Oreochromis niloticus: one gene and its partner. The protein of the gene in region 2 binds, or shares a complex with, the protein of the main gene of each other region. Links are inferred from orthologs where the notes say so. Each region holds a gene or a part of one and is shown on either strand. Other genes may lie near its edges.

What was found.
Region 1: the proteins of dlat (region 2) and pdk3a are in contact, whole or in part, in a crystal structure (PDB 1Y8N), measured with the Homo sapiens proteins. The link is inferred for Oreochromis niloticus from reciprocal best matches to the Homo sapiens genes DLAT and PDK3. Residues at the interface, in NP_001922.2 of Homo sapiens: Ala225, Leu226, Ser227, Pro228, Thr229, Glu248, Gly249, Lys259, Ala260, Ile262, Glu265; in NP_005382.1 of Homo sapiens: Arg21, Phe22, Ser23, Pro24, Ser25, Pro26, Leu27, Phe48, Lys51, Val55, Asn373, Lys374, Ser375, Arg378.

What each region holds. Positions count from the first base shown.
Region 1 is NC_031974.2:21,273,707-21,284,662, reverse strand, and holds the start of pdk3a (pyruvate dehydrogenase (acetyl-transferring) kinase isozyme 3, mitochondrial), read right to left. Parts: upstream 5,474-10,956; 5' UTR 5,192-5,473; coding exon 5,089-5,191; intron 3,029-5,088; coding exon 2,887-3,028; intron 2,744-2,886; coding exon 2,672-2,743; intron 2,235-2,671; coding exon 2,050-2,234; intron 1,953-2,049; coding exon 1,863-1,952; intron 1,190-1,862; coding exon 1,112-1,189; intron 897-1,111; coding exon 820-896; intron 687-819; coding exon 585-686; intron 475-584; coding exon 367-474; intron 252-366; coding exon 138-251; intron 1-137. Other genes in the region: slc51a (organic solute transporter subunit alpha), read right to left, coding at 9,128-9,273, 10,658-10,763, 10,895-10,956. UniProt on the Homo sapiens protein: Inhibits pyruvate dehydrogenase activity by phosphorylation of the E1 subunit PDHA1, and thereby regulates glucose metabolism and aerobic respiration. Can also phosphorylate PDHA2.
Region 2 is NC_031975.2:13,573,126-13,584,510, reverse strand, and holds the start of dlat (dihydrolipoyllysine-residue acetyltransferase component of pyruvate dehydrogenase complex, mitochondrial), read left to right. Parts: upstream 1-5,928; 5' UTR 5,929-6,104; coding exon 6,105-6,359; intron 6,360-7,798; exon of another isoform or gene 7,799-7,949; intron 7,950-8,058; coding exon 8,059-8,160; intron 8,161-8,238; coding exon 8,239-8,363; intron 8,364-8,778; coding exon 8,779-8,938; intron 8,939-9,513; coding exon 9,514-9,640; intron 9,641-9,785; coding exon 9,786-9,967; intron 9,968-10,080; coding exon 10,081-10,228; intron 10,229-10,327; coding exon 10,328-10,395; intron 10,396-10,703; coding exon 10,704-10,790; intron 10,791-11,093; coding exon 11,094-11,201; intron 11,202-11,315; coding exon 11,316-11,385.

The DNA of each region.
Region 1 (10,956 bases), on a different chromosome or scaffold from region 2:
GTGCCAGCTTAATGCCAACACAACTGAGGCGTTGTAGAGGTCAAGGGTTCGGTTTTTTCCTTTAATTAATCACCAATCTGTGTCGTGCCTTACAGATCTTTGCAACGTTACAGCATACTCAAATTTGAATAGCTCACCTTCAGATAGATGACTGCATCCGTGCCAACTCCTTCCATAGAGTACAGCTTCAGATCCCCCTGGAAATATCGGGCATACAGCCTGGAAATTGGTAAACCGTAGCCAAAACCAGCCTGTAAAGTAAAAAGAAAATTAATGTAAAGTCATACTATATAGAAAAATGCAGGAGCCCAAAGAGGCTTTTGATCACAAGGGTCGATACTGATGCGATTGTATGGTTGCAGGTACCAGCGGGACAGCTCCTGGCTCCAGGCTCGGCGTTGGGGCAGTGGAGTACATATAGTTGAAAAGACGGTCTATCTTCCTGAGAGGGACTCCTCCTCCTCTGTCGCTGATCTAGAGACAAAAAGGATAAAAACAATGGAGAAATGGAACAACTTAAAGACAATAAAAGCTAAAACACCTCTAAATATTTCTTTAACGATGCAAATGTGTGTCGAATTTACCTTTATCGAGAGATCCTCTTTACCCAGAGTGACTTTTGTCTTCACTGGTGGTAATCCCTCTTTACTGTTCTCATGAAGCTCCACTGTGGCTCTCATGGAGTTCTGCAAACATCCCAAGAGTTCATTAACTCAGCTCAGCAGCAGCCCTTACAGAATTATAGTCCTGTTACGTCTTAATTGCATTTAATTAGATCCGGGCCAGTTAGGTTAGGAGCACTGACACTGGCCTGCCTACCTTAAAGAGCTCAAATAACATGTGGAATAGATGAGAGGGCACATACACCACTTGGATGGGCCTTTTGGGAGCCTTCACTGCAAAGAAAAGGAGCATGAAGACTAAACGCACACTAAAAAGCAGCTTCTTTTGAAGTAAATGAGGTAGTGGGTCATTACAGGACTAAATCTGGCCCCAATCTGTGCCCAAAAGCTCTAAAAAGACCGGATCACAGGGTTGTAGTTTTTTCAGTGCTGTGACTAATTACAGAGGAGATTGCTTAAACTGCATAAATGCACAAAAGCACTCTTACTGTTGAATTCCTCAATCTTGAGCTCAGGAGCGGCCGAGTAGTACTTCTCGCACAGCATCTTGGCAGTGTCGTAAGCATCTGATGGAAGAGGCAAAACAACATAAGTCAGACCAGAGAACGGCGCGGATTTCTGTTCACAGGTCACTAATGCATCTTCTGTCCCTTCCTGAGTCACTGAAAGTGCAGTGCTGGAATTCCTTTAAAACTATCATTATATAAACACCCCGCTCAGCAAAGATTGATACTCTTTTGTTTGATTTGTGTCACTGCAGAGAGCGGCCGATGTGATATAAAACATAGCTAACCCCCACTTCCTGTGAGAAGAATGAATACATTTGCTCAGTATAACAAAATAAGTCAAACATAGAAAGAAAAATATTCCCTCTGACTTGAGCGAGCATGATCATGAGGAATTACAGCATTAAAAGGAGGATGAACACACAAGACAAACTGTATGCCCATGCTGACTCTAATTTGATAACATGTAAAGTTTCCTGTCATTTTGTTACATAATTACAGTGCAAAATATAACATTTTATGAAATCTGGTCTAAAAAACTTTACTGGTATACAATCAGTTCATACCAAGTATTCCTTAATGACTCATGATCTGACTAAATAAACCTTTAATTTTATATATTTCAGCTGCATTTTACTCAAAATGATTGCTTCATGTTTATTGAGGGTGACGAATCTTTTTCTTTCTAGTAAACCAGGTTAAATCGGTCATATTAAATAACTCCCAAACTTACCATTGACGACTTCTGCCACGTTGCAGTTCGGATCAATGCTGCCTATGTGTTTGGGATGTGCTGGGTTGGTATCGTTACCAAAAAGGAGCGCTGAAACACAGACGTGTGGATGTATAAACTTCAGCTGCACAGATGGATCCGATGGTCTAAACGACATAAATGTTTTGGGGGATTTTTGGAGACTCACTGTGCTGGTTGATGAGCATGCGGAACGAGATGCGATTGGTGTAAAAGCGGTCCAGGAAATACTGGACGTTGCTGCTGATGAACGGGTCGAAGCCGAACTTCTCCTTGTACTCGATGACCCCCTGAGCCATGGTGGGAACCACATCGTTGTGGCGGTTGCGGATCTCAATCAAAAGCTCCAGGAAACTAAAAAAAACAAACCAAAATAAAAATCACATGAAAGAAGAAACATGTTTTATATGTGCACAAAGAACAAGCCAGAAATTTAAATGTCACCATGATTTCTCTGCACAACACAGCACAAGAATGAGGATCTGCATTGTTATTTCATTTTCCCTGGACAATTATTGGAAATGTGTTCTCTAAACAGAAAGACCCAACCACATTCCTGTCTGCGTTTATCGGTGACACATGGCTGTTTAACAGACGGGCATTGTTTTTGTATAAATACAGCGTTACCTGAGCAGTCAGCAGAGATCTATGTGCACTAAGAGGATTAGTTGCAGTGCCAGAGGGACTCTAATCTTAATGACATAAGTATACAACAGCTGGGTGTTGTAAAGCTTTATTTACTGTACATACAGCGTGCTTATTAATTTTTCATACAGATAACATCCACTCACTCGTTCAGAGTATGAGGGTCCTCTGGCTTTCTGTTCTCGTAATCGAGCAACTCCACAAAGCTCTGCATGTACCTGATAAAACAGACAGAGGGCAAAAGGCAACCTTTACACATGCTTACTAACAATATGGCAATAAACCTTAAAACAAGTCCTGCTGCCATAAAGGCTGCCCTTTGGCAGGCGTATAAAGAACATTTCTGGAGGGAGTGTCTTACCATTTTTGCACTAGTTTGACAGAGGGCTGGCTAAGCAGTTTATCGGGGAGAAGGTTGACCTCTCTCATGGTGTTGGCCAGCCGTACGGGCAGCTCCTTACGCAGGAACATGAAGGACGTTTTCTCACATGCATTGTCGCGGCCTGAGGGAAGCAGAAGTGAGAGGCACAGATAACGCCATGATCATGAGTGCATGATCGCAGAATTATTGCCACGGTTAAGGAAAACAACTTCACAACATCTTACCAAGTCATGATCAAAATGAAATATATGGACTGTTTTAAATACTAGGATGAAAATCCTTTGCAGTCAGTGACTGCCTGAAGTCTAGAACCCTTGGAGATCACCTAATGCTGGGTTTCCTCCCTTGAGATGCTTCAGTTGCTGCTTCTTTGTGAGTCTTTCTGGCCTCAGCTTTGCCTCCAGTAACTAGATTAAACTCCAGTAAAGTTTAATCTGACCCTTCTGTTCTTAACCTGTGGTTTGCACCTCGATGGTTAATGCAGAACTTCAGTTAGAACCCTTCGAATTGAAGCTGACAGTCTAGACTTGAACCATATTGACTGCTTGATCCATTGTGGTGGTGTAAAAAAGGCAAACATAATCGAAATCGTGTCTTTGTCCAAATACTTATAAACCTAACCACATATGTGGAGCTTCCAGTTTAGTTTTCTCTTGCCAATAAATACAGTGTGGAGTAAACAATATCAGTTTTCTGACACTTTCACAATCCTGTTTATTGCCATCAATAAAATATCGTGATTAGAGTTTTTCTTTGCTTGCTTCGGCAATCAGAGAGGCTCCCAGCTCACGGGGATCAAGGTCAAATGAAAGACAAAGCTTCATATAAGAAGGTGCTTAAAAAGCAAGTGTGCTGAACTCATCTAAGAAGAGCGCTCGGTTTCAATATCCAACCTTTAACCTGATATCTTAAACTTTGCCATCTGACTGCAGCTGTATCCACATGCGTGCCAACATTAGCTTGAAAAGTTCACGCAGGGAAATCATTGGTCATATTTGCCTGGAAAGAGGGATGGGCGGTCAGGGAGACGTTAGAGGGATTGGTGTTTTAGATCTGTTGCGGGGGAACTTAACAAAGTAGAGCCTTCTAGAGTTTGGACAGTGCTGCCCTGGGGACAACCTCAAAACTCTCAACACAGAAGAGACGATCATGACGTCCAGTGTTAGAACTTGGGATGATCAGACAAGAGGAAACGAGGGAAAAGCTGGACCTGACTCAGCAGTTTAAAGGGGGGAAATCTTGTGAAACGCAGAATGAGGAAGCTTGTGCGTGAGAACAAAGAAGCCTGTGGCGACTATCCCTGGATGACGTCTCACGTGCTCCAGAGTGAAACACAGACACCGATATGTTTTGGCTCTCTTGGTGCCAAGCAGGGGTTCTCCTTAATGCAAACAAGTGCGGCACACTTCCCGTCACGCATTCTACATCCACAGCTGCGAGAACAAATTACGCAACAGACATGCCAGCGTTTAATCAAGAGGCGGATTAAGGAAAGCCTTGAGTGCTTCTGCACCATTAATAACCGTCGTCTTGTGGCACACATTGCGACGGGCGGGATTTCTACATGTCTTGGTGCAATAGAGGGGGAACTGAAATCAAAGGCGGGGAAAACATATTAAACAGAAACACATTTAAAAACCATCAATCTGCAATGACTCGTGCTCTAGAGCGACCTCACTAAGACACAAGTGAAAATAAATAAAATGACTAAAGGCTTCCTGAGCATCTTGGCAACAGGAGCGGGGCTGCTGGCCCCTCCACTGCATACGTGCTGCTGTGCCAGTCTGACTGAGACTACCTGCATGCGTTAGGGTGCCTGTCAATACTTGTTTACAACGTAAACAAATCCGCACAGGACAGAGGACCGTCCTCTGTTTATATGTGGCTGCTTCACTGCAGGCGATCTCTACGTTTAACACACCTGACCGTAAGAAAGTCTAATGTTGCACGATCTGATATCGTCGTGTTGGTGTTGTTCCCAGATCATTATACTAAATGTTGTTTCAGCATCAACATGTTCCCTTCTATTAATAACGAGCCGGGGCTAAGCGTGTGACTCTTCAGGTCCACAGCTGCGACTGATGAGATGACAAAAACACACAACAGGGCCTTCCACCTCCGCCTCCACCCTCTACAAGTCATTCAAGTCCTCTAAAGGTGCCAGGCGATGCCTTTACTCACCGAAATCCAAAAACTGCTTGATGGAGAGCGGGGACGGTGAAAATCTGGAGTAATACTCGATTTTGGGGTTGCTGTTTTTCAGCAAAGACCAGAAGATCCTCATATTGAAAGTTTTAGCGATGATGTGAGTGAGAAGAAATTAGGAGAAGGCGGACAGATGCTCGGACGGTGCGTTTCTTCCAGGGGCGGCCACATTTCCACCGGCCACAGCGGAGGAGACGGAGCGACGCGACAGAGCCAGCTCCATAAGGTTACAGGATAGGATAGAAGCGACAGGAACGGCTTCCTGGATCTACATTACTGCACGCTCAGATGAGCTCAGCTATCCAAAGCCCTTCGCAATGACATGACGACTTCATGCCATACTTTTCAAAATAAAGAAAGAATGCGCAGTATATTTAGTAATATTTTATACCGTCTATAGGGCAACACTGCAAGCTGCAAGGAGGGGTAAATTGGAAAGCCTGGCAACAACATTTATTAGTTTTATATAATATTCAAATAAAATTATTAATATTTATTAAATCAATTAGCATATTGTATATTTCATTTTCTGCACACGTTGTATATATTTAATTCTGTATATATGGTCCTTATTTATCTATTGTGTTTTGCATGTATTTCTTTAACCCTGATGTGGGTCAATACAACAATTTTGGTGTACTGTTGTGCAAAGTACGAGCGTGCAAGGACAATAAAGAGTTCAACTTAAATGGTTTATTAATTTTAATGGATAAAACATTATATTCTTATACTTGGGATTATTATTTAAAGTCTCCCTCCCGACCCATGACCTGCATTTATACACAAATTCTGTCGCTTAACAGAAACACCATGCTTTTTTAAAGAATTTACTTAATTACTGGTGTATACATGGTCTATAAGGGTAACTTATCACTCATGTTTTAAATTACAATGACATTATCAATGTAACCCCAAAGCAAATGTCTTTGGACATTTCCTTGTTGAAGGTTGTATGAAGTTCGTATTAAAAAAAATATATTTTTAGGTAAAATGGTTTGTTTTTGTCTTGCAACAGGTTTCCTTTTTTTGTTTTTCCTATTAAAAATGAATAATAACACCGTAAACCAATTCATAAATGAAACACTTTTAGGTGTAGTTGAATGTATCCCTGCGTAGAGGCAAAAGCTTTTAATTTGAAGAGCTGATCTGTAAACATCCGGTGTAATTGATCTCCATTGACGTTTGTGGACAGCACGTACCTTCGAAAACTTCGACTCAACCGCACTTGGTGCAGGCTTGTGGATTCACAGCCGTGATTGGCTCCAAGAGAGGAGCGACAAATTCGACAATGTTATTGGTCAGAGGCTTGTCAGTCAACGTCATTAACGTCTACATACCTGTTTATCTGTTCATGCGCAGTCAGCAGGCAGTAGATGTTAGAAATGGGGGGTACAGAACGTAAGATTGTGGGTGGAGAACAGGTTTGGGCACCATTTTTAACACGATGTAAGCAGATTATGGTTCTTTTAAAACGAAAAAATAAGCCCCTTACTGTTTTTTTTTTGTTTTTACTGCCCCCTAGTGAGACAATATTTTAAAAATCTACAGTGCCCAGAGCAATGACAGTATTGGACCAGAGAACAAACACCACACCGGAGAACTGTTAGAGCATTACCTTTTTAAAATAACCACATGTGAATAGTTAAAGTAGGCCAACATATCATACATACATGCATACATATGTGTATTATATGCATTTAATAATACTCTATTTGAGCACCTATAGTTTTCCAAAAAACAAACAAACAAACAAAAAAACAATCACCTTTTTTAAATTTAATGCTAATTCAACTTTTTAGAAAGACTTTTAAACTGGCCTGTTAGTTATTTCCAATTCTCTTTGTAACCCAGAGAGTCGGAGGATTGCAGGTACGCTGATGTTAAACCGTAAAATGCCAGCATGCAATGAACAAAATTTTTTTAATAATAAATTAATATTAAAATACAGTACTGCACAAAAGTCTAAAGCCACTCCCTATTTCTTTGTATTTTGTTACTAAAGCGATTAATAGGTTTAACGTGTACACTGAAATATAAGCCAATGTACTGGAAGAAGGAGAAGCCCCAAATCATGACAGAGATAGCTGAAGACACTCACTGTTGCCCATCTCGCCAGACCTCTTCCACATATATTGACGACGATTCAAGAGAAAAATATTAAATGTATTTATTGTCATAAAACCTGCCGTCACTAATTTTAAGTCCAGTTTTGATAATCTGAAATATTTAAGTATAGCTTCTTCAGAGCCAAACATCCACCTAGACCATTTCTGTCAACAGCAGATGGCTCAGAAGAAGCATCTCTCAGGTTCTGTGTCAGGTCTTTGACTTTTTTTTTCTTCCTGTTTCTTAAGAACACGACTTTTAAATACTGTTCATTTGCTGTACATAGCCGAAGAATTGGCATATCTATGGGCAGTGTGTCCTAAAAATAGAGAAAACTAGACAAGTGGAGGAAGAAAATACAGTTTTATGCCGGTCATACTTTGTTAAGTTTAACATTTTTTATCGAATCACCTAAAGAAATGCAAACAAATGGTATGTTTTGGGAACTGGCTGCTAGTAACAAAAAGCCTCTTTTCTAAGTTTGTTATGTGTAGATACAACATTGCTTCATGTCTTGAGTTAGTGAGGCGGTAGCTCAAGACTTTTGCACAGTACTCGATACTTCACTCATCTGAACTTTGGTGATTTTTAAAAATATTTGCTTTGCTTTATTTTTCTGTAGTGTTGTTTTCTTGTAACTGAGCACCATTGCGATGACCTCAAGTAGATGAGAATCAGCATCCATCAGCGAGGATTTATGATGCTGTTCCAGCTTTTTTCCTTTATCTGTTTCGCAAGCATAAGGAAATCATGCATTGAAATCTCCAGAGACAAAGGCTTTCTTTCGCTTGTGTACTTCACAAGCCATTATTCAAATGGTATCAAATTAGCCTACATAATTTCTGGTAAATTATGGGAAAATCTCATATTTGTAAAATAAAACATCTCCTAAAACAACCCCCTGATACCACTTAATTAAGAACATGTTTTCTGGCAGTCAGATGTGGTTCTCTGTCTCACTGCAGATTATGTTTTGGAGGAAAACTAAAGGGTTCTTCTGGGGAAAAAAGTGTGTATACAAGCGTTATTACACAAAAAAGATCAGGCGACCTCGAAAATGTGAGAATGTGGTGTCAAATGTAGCACTGAGAGCTCTAGGACAAAACAAGTCCAATGTCTGAGTCTTCAGTAAAGCTGTATTTTAACTCTTCAAGCTATTGCCAGTGCAATAAGTATCCGTTTTTGTGTACAGTACAGTGAACTGTATTCACAGACAGTGATTTCTGGAAGTGTTCCTGAGCCTGTGCAGTGATTTCCATGATGGAATGACACCTGTTTTTAATGCAGTGTCATTTTAAGACCTGAAGATCACATGCATCCATATTGATTTTTGGCCTTGTCACTTGTGCATGGAGATTTCTCCAGGTTCTCTAAATTATTGGATGACATTAGGCACTGTAGATAATGAGATATTGAAAGTCTTTGCAATTTTACATTAAGGAACATTATTCTGATTTTTGATTTTTTTGCAGATTGGCGAACCTCTGCCAATTTTTACTTCTGAGAAACTCTGCCTCTCTAAGATGCTCTTTTTATTCCCAGTGATGTTACTGATCTGTTGCCAGTTAACCTGATACTCTGCAAAATGTTCCTCCAACTGTTTTGTTTTTTATTCCCACTTACTTTCTTTGAAAAAATTGTAGACTTTCAATGAGAGTCAGTCCATTTCCACGGGATGTTCTTATTAATTTCACATGCCTGTACATGACCCGAGTATCCTGTCAATAAAAACTGTGTAGCGGACTCGCAGCCGGTAAGCTTAATGAGCAGCCACACAACCCATTTACATATAACTCATATTTGTTATTTTGAATATATGCAATGTCTTAATCAAATACTTGAAAGAAAATATGAATCAAACATACAAACACACACACACATACATACACACATTAACACAATTTAGTTCTCATGGAGACTGTGTTAAGTCAGTCATCCTGGTGTTTTCATTGGCATCCTGCTCTTCAGGTAAAGGATCGTACTGTCGTCGATAGAGCAGCCGTGTTACCATCGTTATGATGAACATCTCCATGATCAGCAGCTGCTGGCTCATCACTGTGAAGGCAGAATAAGGACACAAACAAGCTTAGCTGTCACAGGGTTACTGGTAAAAAAATAAGGATACTGATGCATGCTAAATATGATACAGTTGGATCCATAAATATTTGGACACAGACTGCTTTTTTCTTCTTTTTTTTTTGGTTCTGTAAATTACCACAATGACCTTTAGATGAAACAACTCAGATGCAGTTGAAGTGCAGAATTTCTGCTTTAATTCAGTGGGGGAACAAAAAGATTGCCTAAAAATGTGAGGAACTAGAGTATTTTTTAACACAATACCTTCATATCAGGGGCTCAAAAGTAATTGTACAAATTAAATAAGTGAAAATAAAGTGTTTGTTTTTAATGGTTTTGCTGGCAATGACAGCCTGATGTCTTGAGCTCATGGACATCACCAGATGCTGGGTTTTCTCCTTTTTAATGCATTGCCAGGTCTTTACTGCAGTGTCTTTCAGTTGCTGTGTGTTTGTGGGTCTTTCTGTCTGAAGTTTAGTCTTTAACAAGTGAAATGCATGCTCAACTGGATTAAGATCAGCTGACTGACTTGGCCATTCAAGAATATTCTACTTATTTGCTTTAATAAACACCTGGGTTGTTTTGGCTGTAAGTTTTGGGTCATTGTCTGTCTGTATTTTTGAAACACCCCCAATCAGTTTTACTGCATTTAACTGGATTTGAGCAAACATTACATCTCTTAACACCTCAGAGTTCATTCGGCTGCTTCTGTCCTGTGTCACATCATCAATAAACACTAGTGCCCCAGTGCCACTGGCAGCCATGCACGCCCAAGCCATCACACTTGCCCCCGCTGTGTATTACAGATGATGTGGTTTGCTTTGGATCATGAGCTGTTCCATGCATTCTCCATACGTTTTTCTTGCCATCATTCTGGTAGAGGTTGATCTTGGTTTCATCTGTCCAAAGAATGTTTTTCCAGAACTGTGCCGGCTTTTTTTTTACATGTTTTCTAGTAAAATCCAGTCTAGCCTTTCTATTCTTGAGGCTTATGAGTGGCTTGCACCTTGCAGTGAACCCTCTGTATTTACTTTCATTCAGTCTTCCCTTTATAGTACACTTGGATATCGATGCGCCTACATCCTGGAGAGTGTTGTTCACTTGGTTGGCTGTTGTGAAGTGATTTCTCTTCACCATAAAACTGACTCTGTGATCATCCTCCACTGTTGTCTTCTCTGGACGCCCAGGTCTTTTTGCATTGTTGAGTTCACTACACATTATGTCCAAGTCCGTTATTTAACTATGATCGAAATATGTTTCAGTAAACACATACAAAAATAAAACTTGTGTCAGTGTCCAAATATATATGGAACTGTAAATATGTGGATGATTGGCCTGACTGGATAGATGGATGTAAACTCACTGTATCCTCTGATCGACGAGGGGAAAGGTGGAGAGCAGGCGATGGTGCCATTCGAGCCCAAGATGTTGATAATAGCTGTCTGCAGCTGGGTAAGAATCAGGAGCAGCTAACGACACAAATGAAAACATACAAGAACTAATTGTAGTTGCAGCTTGTGTTATCCTGGCAAAACAGTCTTTCAAATCTGTTAACAGTCTTTATCCAAAAGTGTGCACATGTGCTTGATCAGTGTCTTACCTGATACATGGCGTATTTCGGGATGATCTTTATTGTTCGCAGGGTGTTCTTCAGGTGTATGA
Region 2 (11,385 bases):
AGAGGGAAGTGAGGACTTTAAATAAACCAGAGATGGGGACTTTCATTACTTCTATGAAATATACTTTTGCACGCTAAAGAACAGAAAATTAATCTCAGTCTTTATTCTTTTAACTGTTGCTTCTGAGAAGGAATCCATACCTGTGAATTCATATTCTTTATCAAATTGGCCCAAATGTGCTGACTACACCGTAAAAAATCAAACTTGCAATTGCTGAGCTTAGTCATTTCTTTCACAATTCAACAATAAAAGCTGAGTTGCCCCATAAACTCAAATACATTAGGGTTCCAACTAATCCTTTAACGTTTTGGAGCAAAAGTTGGTCTCAGATGAAATTTATTGCTGGCAAAATGAATGAATTCAAGCTTTACATGAGTTTAAGGTGTTGGCGCCTTTCTATGCCTGAGCACGCATGCGCATCTCATAGTTTTGGATACTACGGGGTCTACATTGCACTTTTGCAAGGACTGAGAGCCACCTGGCCGTTTCCCTTAATGCAAACACGAGGCTTTACCAGGAGCTGGATGCAGCTAAGGTGTTCATCTTAACTTTCTTAAGGCAAGTAATGTTTCTTTTATTGTGTATTTATATGTGTTTACTACATCATTTAAGATCCCCCCTAGACTGTTTTACTCAATCGTGCTGCTTGAATGCCCTCGTGAGCAACTTGAATGTTTTCCATCATAAAATAGTGCTTTAAAGTTTTGGTATAAAAATCGCCATGTCACAAAACAATGAAAATCCGACAAACATCCCTACCAAACAGGCGCGCCCATGTTTGACAAGCCTCGCGACACCCCCTACGTGTATTTCATGAAGTGCAGGCTGTGGCCGCCATACTACCGAAAAAAAAATTCGGGGGCGCCCTCTGCCATGTCGTTTAATTTGTTCAAATCACATTTAGCCAATAAAATATGTGGTTTAGTTTCTGTGTGAACGGGGTGGTGGAGTCCTCACGCCCAGCGAGCTCCACCAAACACAAACAGGAGGGAGAGGAAAATCAGAGAAGCAGCTACAGAGCACAAGCAGCATAGCAGTAAATATGGGGTTATTTTAAATACGAAGGCTGACTAGAGTCTGCAAGAGTCATATCGAACAGACTTTAACCCTCTGGGGTCGACGGACGCGCCGGCTCGTCAAAACCACATGACCAATTTAAAATGACACAGCTAAAAGATGCAGCGACTCAGTCTCCATTTCAACTTGGGACGAAAGTGCGGACTTCAAACTATACACCAGTTTTTGAATTGTGTCGACAGGCCACGTAAAACCAGAGTTATGATAAAAAATACACGCGATGGTTTTTTTTTTTCTGAACAAAACAGTGGTGTTTACAGCGGGAAGAACGGTAAAAACGGCGTTTTCTAAGGACCGCGCTAGCAAACACTCTCCACTTGCGAGTAAAAAAAAAAAGAAAATACACCCCTTCCCTATTGGTGTTAGAGTTTACCATCTCAGCCAATCAAAAAAATGATATGGCAACATGTGGCACTTGGTTGTTTAGGGAGAAAGGGAAGTTTTAGGAGTGACACCCGCGACGGAAAGCAGGCGCGCAAAAGAAAGAGAGCGCGAGTTTTCATATGTGAGACATTAGTGACGTTTAGCGTGTTTGGAGGCTAGAGTTAGTTTGTTGTGTAGTTATTGTTTTGTATTGTGTGTGAGTTATACTGCTGAATGTCACATTTGCTCCAAAAAAGCCATCAAAGGCAGATTCCAGTGTAAACGCTGTTCCCACATGGAAAACTGGACTGATACACCTCCTGCTGTCAGACCTGCAGGGTTTAGGCCTGTGCTGTTCTCCTCTGTCTTATATTGAACACAAACTATTTTTGGACTGGCACAAATAATTTCTGTGCCTTCTTATTTGATGCAGCACAACTGATTGTTCTGTAACTAGATTTAAATGGTTATATAAAAAACGCCCGAGGCCTTGGCTGCATTTTTAGGTAAATAGTACCATATAACTTTGTTTGCAAAACTTTGGGAACTTCAGGTTCATACACATGTAACGAAAGATACTTTATTAAATATTTACTAAATTGATATAAAAATTGTTAGTTTTCAAAAAGTGTGTCCTCCTGAATGGGATTATAAGCTAACAAGCAGCGCTGTGTGTTTGGCAGATGGCAGGTCATGACGGACAGTTCAACTCTCATCCCACTTTTTGTTATAAATGTCATAAGTGTGCTACATTGGTTGTGCATCAAAATTACTTTAAAAAAAACTGACAAAACCATGAGCAATTATCTGGAATAACTAATTTTAACATCTTATTTCTTAAGGCTGTATTTTTAGCAACAACACTTAATCTGTTTTAAAAACAAAATGGTAGGTTTATAAATGAGACTGAGTCTTATTTGATTTCCTTGTTTTAGGCCTCAAACATAGTCCAGCATCGACGAACCATCAGTTTGGAAGGGTTACAGATATTTATTCGTGACGACGAGACCAAACTCTTCTTAACATGTCTGGTGAGTATGCAAATCTACTCAATCTTCAGTTTTGGTTTACAGAGACTTGTATGTACTGTTGTTAATTTTGCATAGGATACAGATCCAGTTGAGAGGGCAACCCGAGGTGTTACGGTGGGCATCCTCACTGTTCTGGAGGACTATGTGGGACCCAACTCGCAGTCCACAGTGGTCAACACTGCCATTGTTTTGGAAGAGGACATTATTCTTGATGATCTGCCAGACCTTCCCACTGCCTTTGCCTACCTGTTTGGCCTACTTTATGGGGTCAACATGGAGTTTCCCAAAGAACTCAAGTACACATTTGTTTGCTGTATGGAAACCAGATAGAAGAGTTCATATCCTGCCATCTGATGTTTTGAATCTGTTTGTTAGTGACTATCAGTCAAGATAGGTTTGATTTTCTGTCTGACAATACCACACCTTTAAAATTGGATGAGTAACATTTGTTACAAAAATTTGACCTTTTTTTTGTTTTTGGAAAAGGACTTTATTTGTGGCTAAATGTTGTCAGTATGTTAAAAATGGCTCATCTCAAAACATTGTCAGTGGTACAGTTGTGTTTGAACACAAAGTTATTTGAAAATCAAAATTGTGTAAACATTCATTAATACAACAGGGAGCACCTCATGAAAACTATAAAGGATACTTTTTCTAAACTTTAGGAAATTGATTGGCAAAACAAAAAAAATATGTTGTGTAAACTTTAGGAATTACATTGTTAAAACAATGAAAAATATATTTTGTCAACTTTAGGAAATACGTTGCCAAAACTAAAACTAATACCTTGTGTAAACTTTAGGAAATACATTGCTAAGACAATAAAATATGAGTTAAGAAAAAGCACAGTTATTAATTTTGTAAACACAAAAACATTAGTTGAAGCAACTTTTCTCCTAAACTTGAAATTATAAGTTATCCATCAGAACCTAAAAACGTAAATGCAGTGGGTTGCCTTGAGTTTTTAAGTTTTTGCAACAATTCTTTTTTTAACAGTGTATTTTATTTAGTGCCCTGTGAACTAATGCCTTTCTTCCAACAATGTCTAACAAAAACACATGAATTTAAATAAAATATCCATAAAGTAAAGTAGAAAGGATTGCTTTTGTATAATAAAACAGTAAGAATAGGAGTAAATTTTGATATATTGGTATGTCATAAAGTCATGTATTATATTAGCAATGAGTAATATTGCACTGAAGTTTATGTTATTGAGTAATAAGGGGGCAGAAACTTGGAATAATAATGTGGAAACATTACTTTATTAACTTGGTTTTCCATATTATTACGGTCTTGTTTCCACATTATTACACCACTATTATGGCATTATTATGAAGTTGTAATAGAAAGGATTACCAAAGTGTGAAGAATTATCATTGAAATCATTTTTTAAATGTGTTTTGGAGAAGTTTGTCTAAGTTTATAAGACATCTTTGAGTTTCAGGAGAGGAAAAAAAGTGGTAAACATTTAAATGCATAAAGCAAAACATATAGTTGGCCCAGAAATTGAGCTCAGCATCACACATACTGTTTCATCTTGCAAAGAAACCCTGTAATGTTTGCCAATATTCCCTTGGCTTGTCCATTTGAATAGTGCATGGAATGACATTTATAATACGCCCTTTACTCTGCTCACCTCATTATAGGTAAGGCAAGCTGTGAGGAAATGGCTTTAGATTATGAAAAACAGAGCCACAGGAATTCAGCTGAAAAGTCCAAACCTTTGGCAGTTCTCTCAGGAGAATCTACACATACAGTGCATTATTTACAGGTTAGACAGGTGGCACATTAGAGTATAAATAATGCCAAAAATTGTCAACAACATTTGCTTTAATGCTTTGTTTTCTTTTTTTCTTTCTTTTTTTAAATATACCTTCATATAACACTGGATCCCTTCTGTGCAGCCTATTCTAATACTAACTCAGCCATGGATGAGCTGCACAAGGCAATAAGGAGTCAGCAGAACTCCTATCCCAATGCAGTGTACATCATAGTTGGGGACTTTAACCATGTTGACTTAAGGTCAGTATTCACCAAATTTGAACATTATAGCAACAAGGTGGAAAAACACACTGGATAAAGCCTACAGCAACATCCAAAAAGGCTACAGAGCAACCCCTCTCGGACTAATGGTGTCAAAGGCCCCTCCCATCAGAAGGAGACACACTCCACCCACTCCAGTTCGCATACAGAGCTAACACATTAACTGAAGATGCCATTGTTACAACGCTCAGAATACTGCAGCAAGACTCTTAACAGGCACCAACAAAAGATCTCATATCACCCCAGTTTTGGCCTCCCTTCACTGGTTGCCTGTAAATTTTAGGTTTCATTTTCAAATTTTACTTCTAACCTTTAGGGCCCTACATGGTCAAGCTCCACAGTATATATATCTGACCCGCTGAAACTGCATTCATCTTCCCAAGCTCTAAGGTCATCAGGTCAACAACTGCTGATTCCACCACACACTCAATTTTAAACTCGTGGTGATCGTTCCTTTCAGGCAGTGGCACCACAGTTGTGGAATTCTCTTTCACTGTTTTTACACTGTACTGACACCACTGATTCTTTTAAAAAGCAGCTGAAGATATTTTTATATAGACAAGCATTCAACTAATTTGTTGTTTTTATGTTGTATTTTATTGTTTTACATTGTCCAGCATGTTGACTGTTACCTGAAATGCCACTTACTGACCAACAGATGGCACTCTTACAAATACCAAATCTGATTTGGTATCTGTAGTCAGACAGTGCTCGTGTCATCAGTGTCACTTTAACATTACAAAGAGTAAAAACAAGTAAAATATATTTACAATAAGCAGACCTAAGTGCCGGAAAGTTCAAACACTGAAAAGCACAAAGGCCAACTTTGTGTCATCCTCTGAATGCTTCATGACACTCTTAGACAGTTTTTATCCTTCAATGCTGATTTGACTGAGTTATGATGTGTACATGGTTTTATTTATTTACTTACTTTCACATTTACCTCGACTTACTTTGCTTCAGCCAGCTGTGTTTTTATAATCATGCAGTCATCGGACCTTTGGAACCTTTGTGAATTGGACAAAATCCAAAATAAATTCAAACTTGTGCACCCAGTTCTTTTTTTTTTAAGTCATTAAAGATGCCATAATGGGTATATGCAAACTTCTCGCCATAACTGTGATACATAAAATCAAGATTCACAGGCTGGCTGGACCCAGGCAAACTTCCCAGTAAAAGAATCTACTGCCATCATGTGGTCATTGATGTGATTACAGCTTAATTACATTTATCGCTAAAACAGTTTGAACAGTTCTTAATATAATTTTTTATTTGCTTTACTTTGTTTCTTTAGCATTGTACTTTCATTGGCAGTGGTGGTGTTTTTTTGTTTGTTTTTGTTTTGGGGGTATTCAGCGACTGAATTGTGAGCCGCTGCCATTTACGACACCAACGACAAAGCTACGACAGCACAAGCAAGAGAGCCGTAAATCGTTGTGTTTGGGGCTGGAGGAGGTCATTAGAAAGTGAGGAGTTAAATAGGGGCTGGCTGTCAGGGAGAAGAGACCCTCGGTGTAGGTGTAGCTCTCATGCTGGTGTAAGACATACATATTATTCACCAGCTCTGTATAGTATTCCAACCGCTGCGAAATGCTTCGTCTGATCCTGCGGCTCAGGCCGTCCTCCGGGCTCCGGTGTCCCCGTGCCCTCCCGGCCGGGCCTGCTGCGCTCAGCTCCCGCTCTGCTCCCGGAACCAGCTGTCTGAGACGGCTTCATTATGGAGCAGGGTCCCGAGCGGCCTCTCTGGGCTCCGGCTTCAACCACAGAGCGACTCTTCTGCGGTCTCCCCAGCTAGCAGGTGGATGTCAGTGCAAGCGCTTCTACAGCCTGCCGCCACACCAGAAGGTAACGCTACCGGAGCCGGTGTCAGGTTGCTATAGCACCCATGTTCACCGCGTTAGCTAGCATGACCTCCCTGCCTGTTACAGAGATCTGTTAAAAAACGCTTTATTAACTGGAAATCCGGCTCTTCCCTGTGTGAGGTTAGCAGGAACTGTTGTTACCTATCGTTTGAATCTCTGAACGACTAGTTTCTCCACTCCTCACTGGTCACTGAACTAAATAAAGCAGACACTGTTGTGACTGTTTGTGCTGCGGTTCTCCTGAATGACACCAATCCGTCAAACCTGACTTGTGTGCCCCAAACACGGAGGCCATAGGAAATACTGGGGCTATAAAAACGTAACACATGCCTGATGGTGCTGAGCGATACTGCAAAATTTGGTATCGATCCCGATACCAAATAAATACAGGGTTTCGTATTGCCAATCCCGATACTTGTAACCTATAAAGACAGCTTAAGTAGGGAACAGCAGTATGTTATTGTTTATGAGGTGATTTATCATAAATTTGCAAATTGTGAACAACTTTTAATGACCACTAACTGACTGAGCTTTGCCTTCCATAATAGCTGTGTTTTGTTTCCACAACAAAGTACAGCTTTCAGTTTGTCATGTATTTTGAAACAGTTTTTTTTAGACTTGGAATATAAATGTACCTTTCTCTAAAGCACTGTTATTTAAATGTGCTATAGCTTACAAATAACAAGGATGTGACAGTCACTACGAAAAGGTTCAGACACTTTTCATAGCAAATGTTTGAGGTATATTTTACTTTCTCCAAAAATAATTTATCTAACACAGTTCAGAGGGCTGAACGCTGAACTTGGACATTAGAAGTAAAGTATAGGTTGTATCACGATCTGATACCAATATCAGTGTTTGTTTCGGTACTATCGATATTTGGCTCAATCTGCGCACCTCTGAGACATTTTAACACAGTACACTGTGTGCACAGCGCACTCATTGTAAAGTTTTAAAAAGACTAGATTCATACTTTGTCACTTTCCCCAAGTGTATTGAAGTCAATTAGAGCAGGTGATTTGTGTTCTCCTCTGCTGCATTAGACAGAGGACCTGGAGGGAGCTCATGGTTAATTGGTTGTGGAACAACTTCAGGAACTGCTGAAAACATGAAACAATTATAACCTGGGAAGTCTGACAGGCTCGTCCTCCAATTTAAGTGACCTGCTGGTTTATACCTCTTCGTCAGTTGGGAGTGCTGCCTGTGGAAATTGCATGCTGTCCCCGAAATCATGAAACTGGCAGCTTCACTTTCTCCTTACAGTCTAGAGGTGTGCTCGTTAGGTTAATTGAGCGTAGGTGCAGATCTTAGGCTGTGAGCCTGAATGAAACCCTCCAGTTTTGGCTCTAAAGTGGAAGGCTTCTTAGTAGTCCTTCGACCTTTGTGTTACTCCACCAATAGCATGTCATTCATCTTTGCTGTTATATAAAAAAAAACTCAATAAAAATCAGCTGTGGTAAAGTGGATGTAGGTCATTTTATTGAGCAATGAATGAGGTGATGATGATGTAGCAACAGCAGTTACAACACCTGACTTCTGGCACTTTTTTGACTGGCCTGTTGAAAAGTTCCCAGTGAGGATACTCGAAAAGGATAATACAGATACAGTCTTTGTTTTTTGGTGTTTTTTTTTTTTAAGGTTTTAGGTTATACATTGATTTTATTCATTTGCTTGCTCTTCAGGTGGAGCTTCCTGCACTGTCGCCCACCATGCAGACAGGAACGATCGCTCGCTGGGAGAAGAAGGAGGGGGAGAAAATCAGCGAGGGTGACCTCATAGCTGAGGTTAGGAGCCGTGTGTGCCCACGCTGCCGCAAAACGTGATCGTGGCGTACATTTCTAATGTTGCCTCTGCCTTTGTAGGTAGAGACGGACAAGGCCACTGTGGGATTTGAGATGCTGGAGGAATGCTATCTGGCAAAGATCCTGGTTCCTGAAGGAACCAGAGATGTCAACGTTGGAGCCGTGATTTGCATCACAGTTGACAAGTTAGTGTGTTTGGACAGTCCAGATTCAGAGCTGAGGCCTGTTAGTTGAGTTTTTTTGTTTTTTTTCGTTTATAGTAATGGGACGAATTAATAGTTGGAAAACATTAAATGGGGAGCACTATGTTTTGATAGTGGCAAAATGCTGCTTTTATTTATTTTTTCAGTCCTTTAAGTCCTTGAGCTTTAACAAACATGATAAAAAAGACTTGAATCTTCAGAAAACCCTTACAATAAACTTTAATGCTGCTTGGTTTACGTCTACATTTGTTATGAAATGTAATGTAATGTGCTATATCAACAAAATTGCCTTTGCCACAATCAAATATGGGAGGTTAAAAGCTGACAGGGTGCCATATGGCTCGATGCAGTTGTGTCAGTTTCTACTCATTATTTGTGGATATATTTTCCCCTGCAGCCCTGACTTGGTCTCAGCCTTTAAGGATGTAACACTAGATTCGATCAAAGTAGCCGGTGCCACTCCTTCACCTGCTACCTCTGCGCCGCCTCCTCCACCTGCTGCTGCTGCGCCAGCTCCACCTGCAGCCCCTGGAAGCTCTTATCCCGCACACTTAAAGGTAAGCGAGCTCTCACATAAACAAGTCCGGTCGGAAAGCTGTAGATTTGTCATTTAGACAGCATCTGTTTACCTATGCTGTGTTCTGGTTTGATTAGGGTTGTTCAGGATCACTGTGTATCAAGGCAGAGAAGCGGGTACCAATATGGACTCTTCTGATCATGCGCCAGATTTTACTACTTTACTACAGTGTGTGGCATTAAACAGTTTCCGTGGATGTGTAGTTTCCATGTATCTGTTATATTTTTAACTTTCTCTATTTGAAGGACTTTTTTTTTTTTTTCCCCCCCTTTCTTTATTTTAAAAAAACAAAAATAATGTCGCACCACTTCATCATTTAATCAAAGAGAGGGGAAAGGCTTTAATTTGCTGGAGGCTGTGCCACAAAATTGTCCCTGCCCTTACTTCAGCTGTGAATGTCCCTGTGACATCATTCGGTCCCTTCAGGGGTCATCTTGAAGTCATTTTCTCTGGAGCTTTAACAGTGTTTGTAGTAACTTGACTAGAAGCTGAAGAGGTTGTGAGTCTTTTTCAGGTCTAGTATTGTTCACATTTGTGGGAATTTGTGTGTTACAGATCGCACTTCCTGCTCTTTCTCCAACCATGACGATGGGAACAGTGCAGCGCTGGGAGAAGAAGGTCGGAGAGAAGCTGAGCGAAGGAGATCTCTTAGCTGAGATCGAAACTGACAAGGCGACCATTGGTAAATCCAAACTGATTTGAACACATCGATCCTAAAGCGTGTCCACTTTCAGCACTACAGAGGAAAAAATAGTTATATGAGCTCACTTTTAATATAGCTTTTAATACTGACATTCACCCCGGACCTTCTGTGTGTTTGCATACAGGCTTTGAGGTGCAAGAGGAGGGGTATTTGGCTAAAATCCTGGTGGCGGAGGGAACCCGTGATGTTCCCCTGGGCACGCCGCTCTGCATCATTGTAGAGAAGGAAAGCGACATTGCCGCTTTCAAGGATTACGTTGAAACTGGGGTGGTTGAGGTTTCCACACCACCTCCACCTCCAGCACCGGTGAGACTCACAGAAAACCTGTACTTTCAAATAAGAAGTCATTTGGCTTTTGTACAGTTTTAAGATGCCTTAAGAACACTTTTTTTTTTTTTTTTTTTTTTAATATGTTGTAGGTCGCAGCTCCAGCTGCTGCATCACCCAGTCCTGCTCCAGCAGCAGCAGCTGCTGCCCCTGCAGCACCCAGGAAGGGTCGCGTGTTCGTCAGCCCGCTTGCCAAGAAACTCGCTGCTGAGAAAGGAATTGACCTGGCCCAAGTCAGCGGTACGTAGCCAGACCTATGTGATGGATGAAGAGCATTTGCTGAAGTAGTATGCAGCTTTTACATTTTAATTTTTTAATTTTAAATACTCTTTTGTTCAGGCTCTGGCCCTGATGGACGCATCACCAGGAAGGATATTGAGAACTTTGTTCCACCAAAAGCTGCACCTGTAAGGGAAACCCATACTGTTCAGTCACATTAGTGCACATCAGTCCAGTTAAATCATGTGTAACCATTCTTATTGTTTAATGTTCCTTTTCTTAATACCGATGTAATACTGACAGTCTAATCAATAGGTCCCTGTCAGTCATGCCCATTTTTCTTTTAAATGATACATTTAACTGTTGTAGCACAGTGATATATCTGTTTTGGCAAATAATCAGAATTATTAATTTATTAATTAATATCCTGCCGTAATGCTCTGTACCTCTGTTTCTGTTGTTGTATGTAATGCAAATTAAATCTCTACCTCTGCAGGCTGCTCCAGCTGCTCCTGCATTTGCACCAGCCCCTGCTGCACCAACTGGCACCTTCACAGACATCCCTATCAGCAACATCCGCAAGGTGAGCACCACCACACACCTGCCTCTTGATGGTCCATTACATTCTGTGATGACTTCCGCTGCTAGCAGTCGGTGCATTAGCGGCTCCTTCTGTGCGGGGTGCTGTGCTGGTGTATTGAGAGCTTAGAGGCAAATGTCCTGAGGAGATTTCAGTGTAGCTCTGTTATCTCTGACCTGTGCTAACACATTTTGCCCCACAGGCGGGCACTCCATTTATCAAAACAGACCCAGCCAGCACACCTCATTCCTCTTGGTGATGAATAATGGATCAAAGCTAAAGTGCATATATTTGTCTCTCCTGCAGGTCATTGCTCAGAGGTTGATGCAGTCCAAACAAACCATCCCCCACTATTATTTGTCTGTAGATGTCAACATGGACCAAGTGCTTGAGCTTAGGAAAGAACTCAACGCTGTGAGTGTGTGCTTTCTAATGGAGGTTTAACTGAGTGAATGCTTTGTTTGTACCACTGCACTAAAACCTCATTTCCAGCATCTCATAAACGGTTTCATCCTTTTCTCTCTGCAGGAGGTGAAAGCCCAGAATATCAAACTTAGTGTGAATGACTTCATCATCAAAGCTAGCGCTCTGGCCTGCC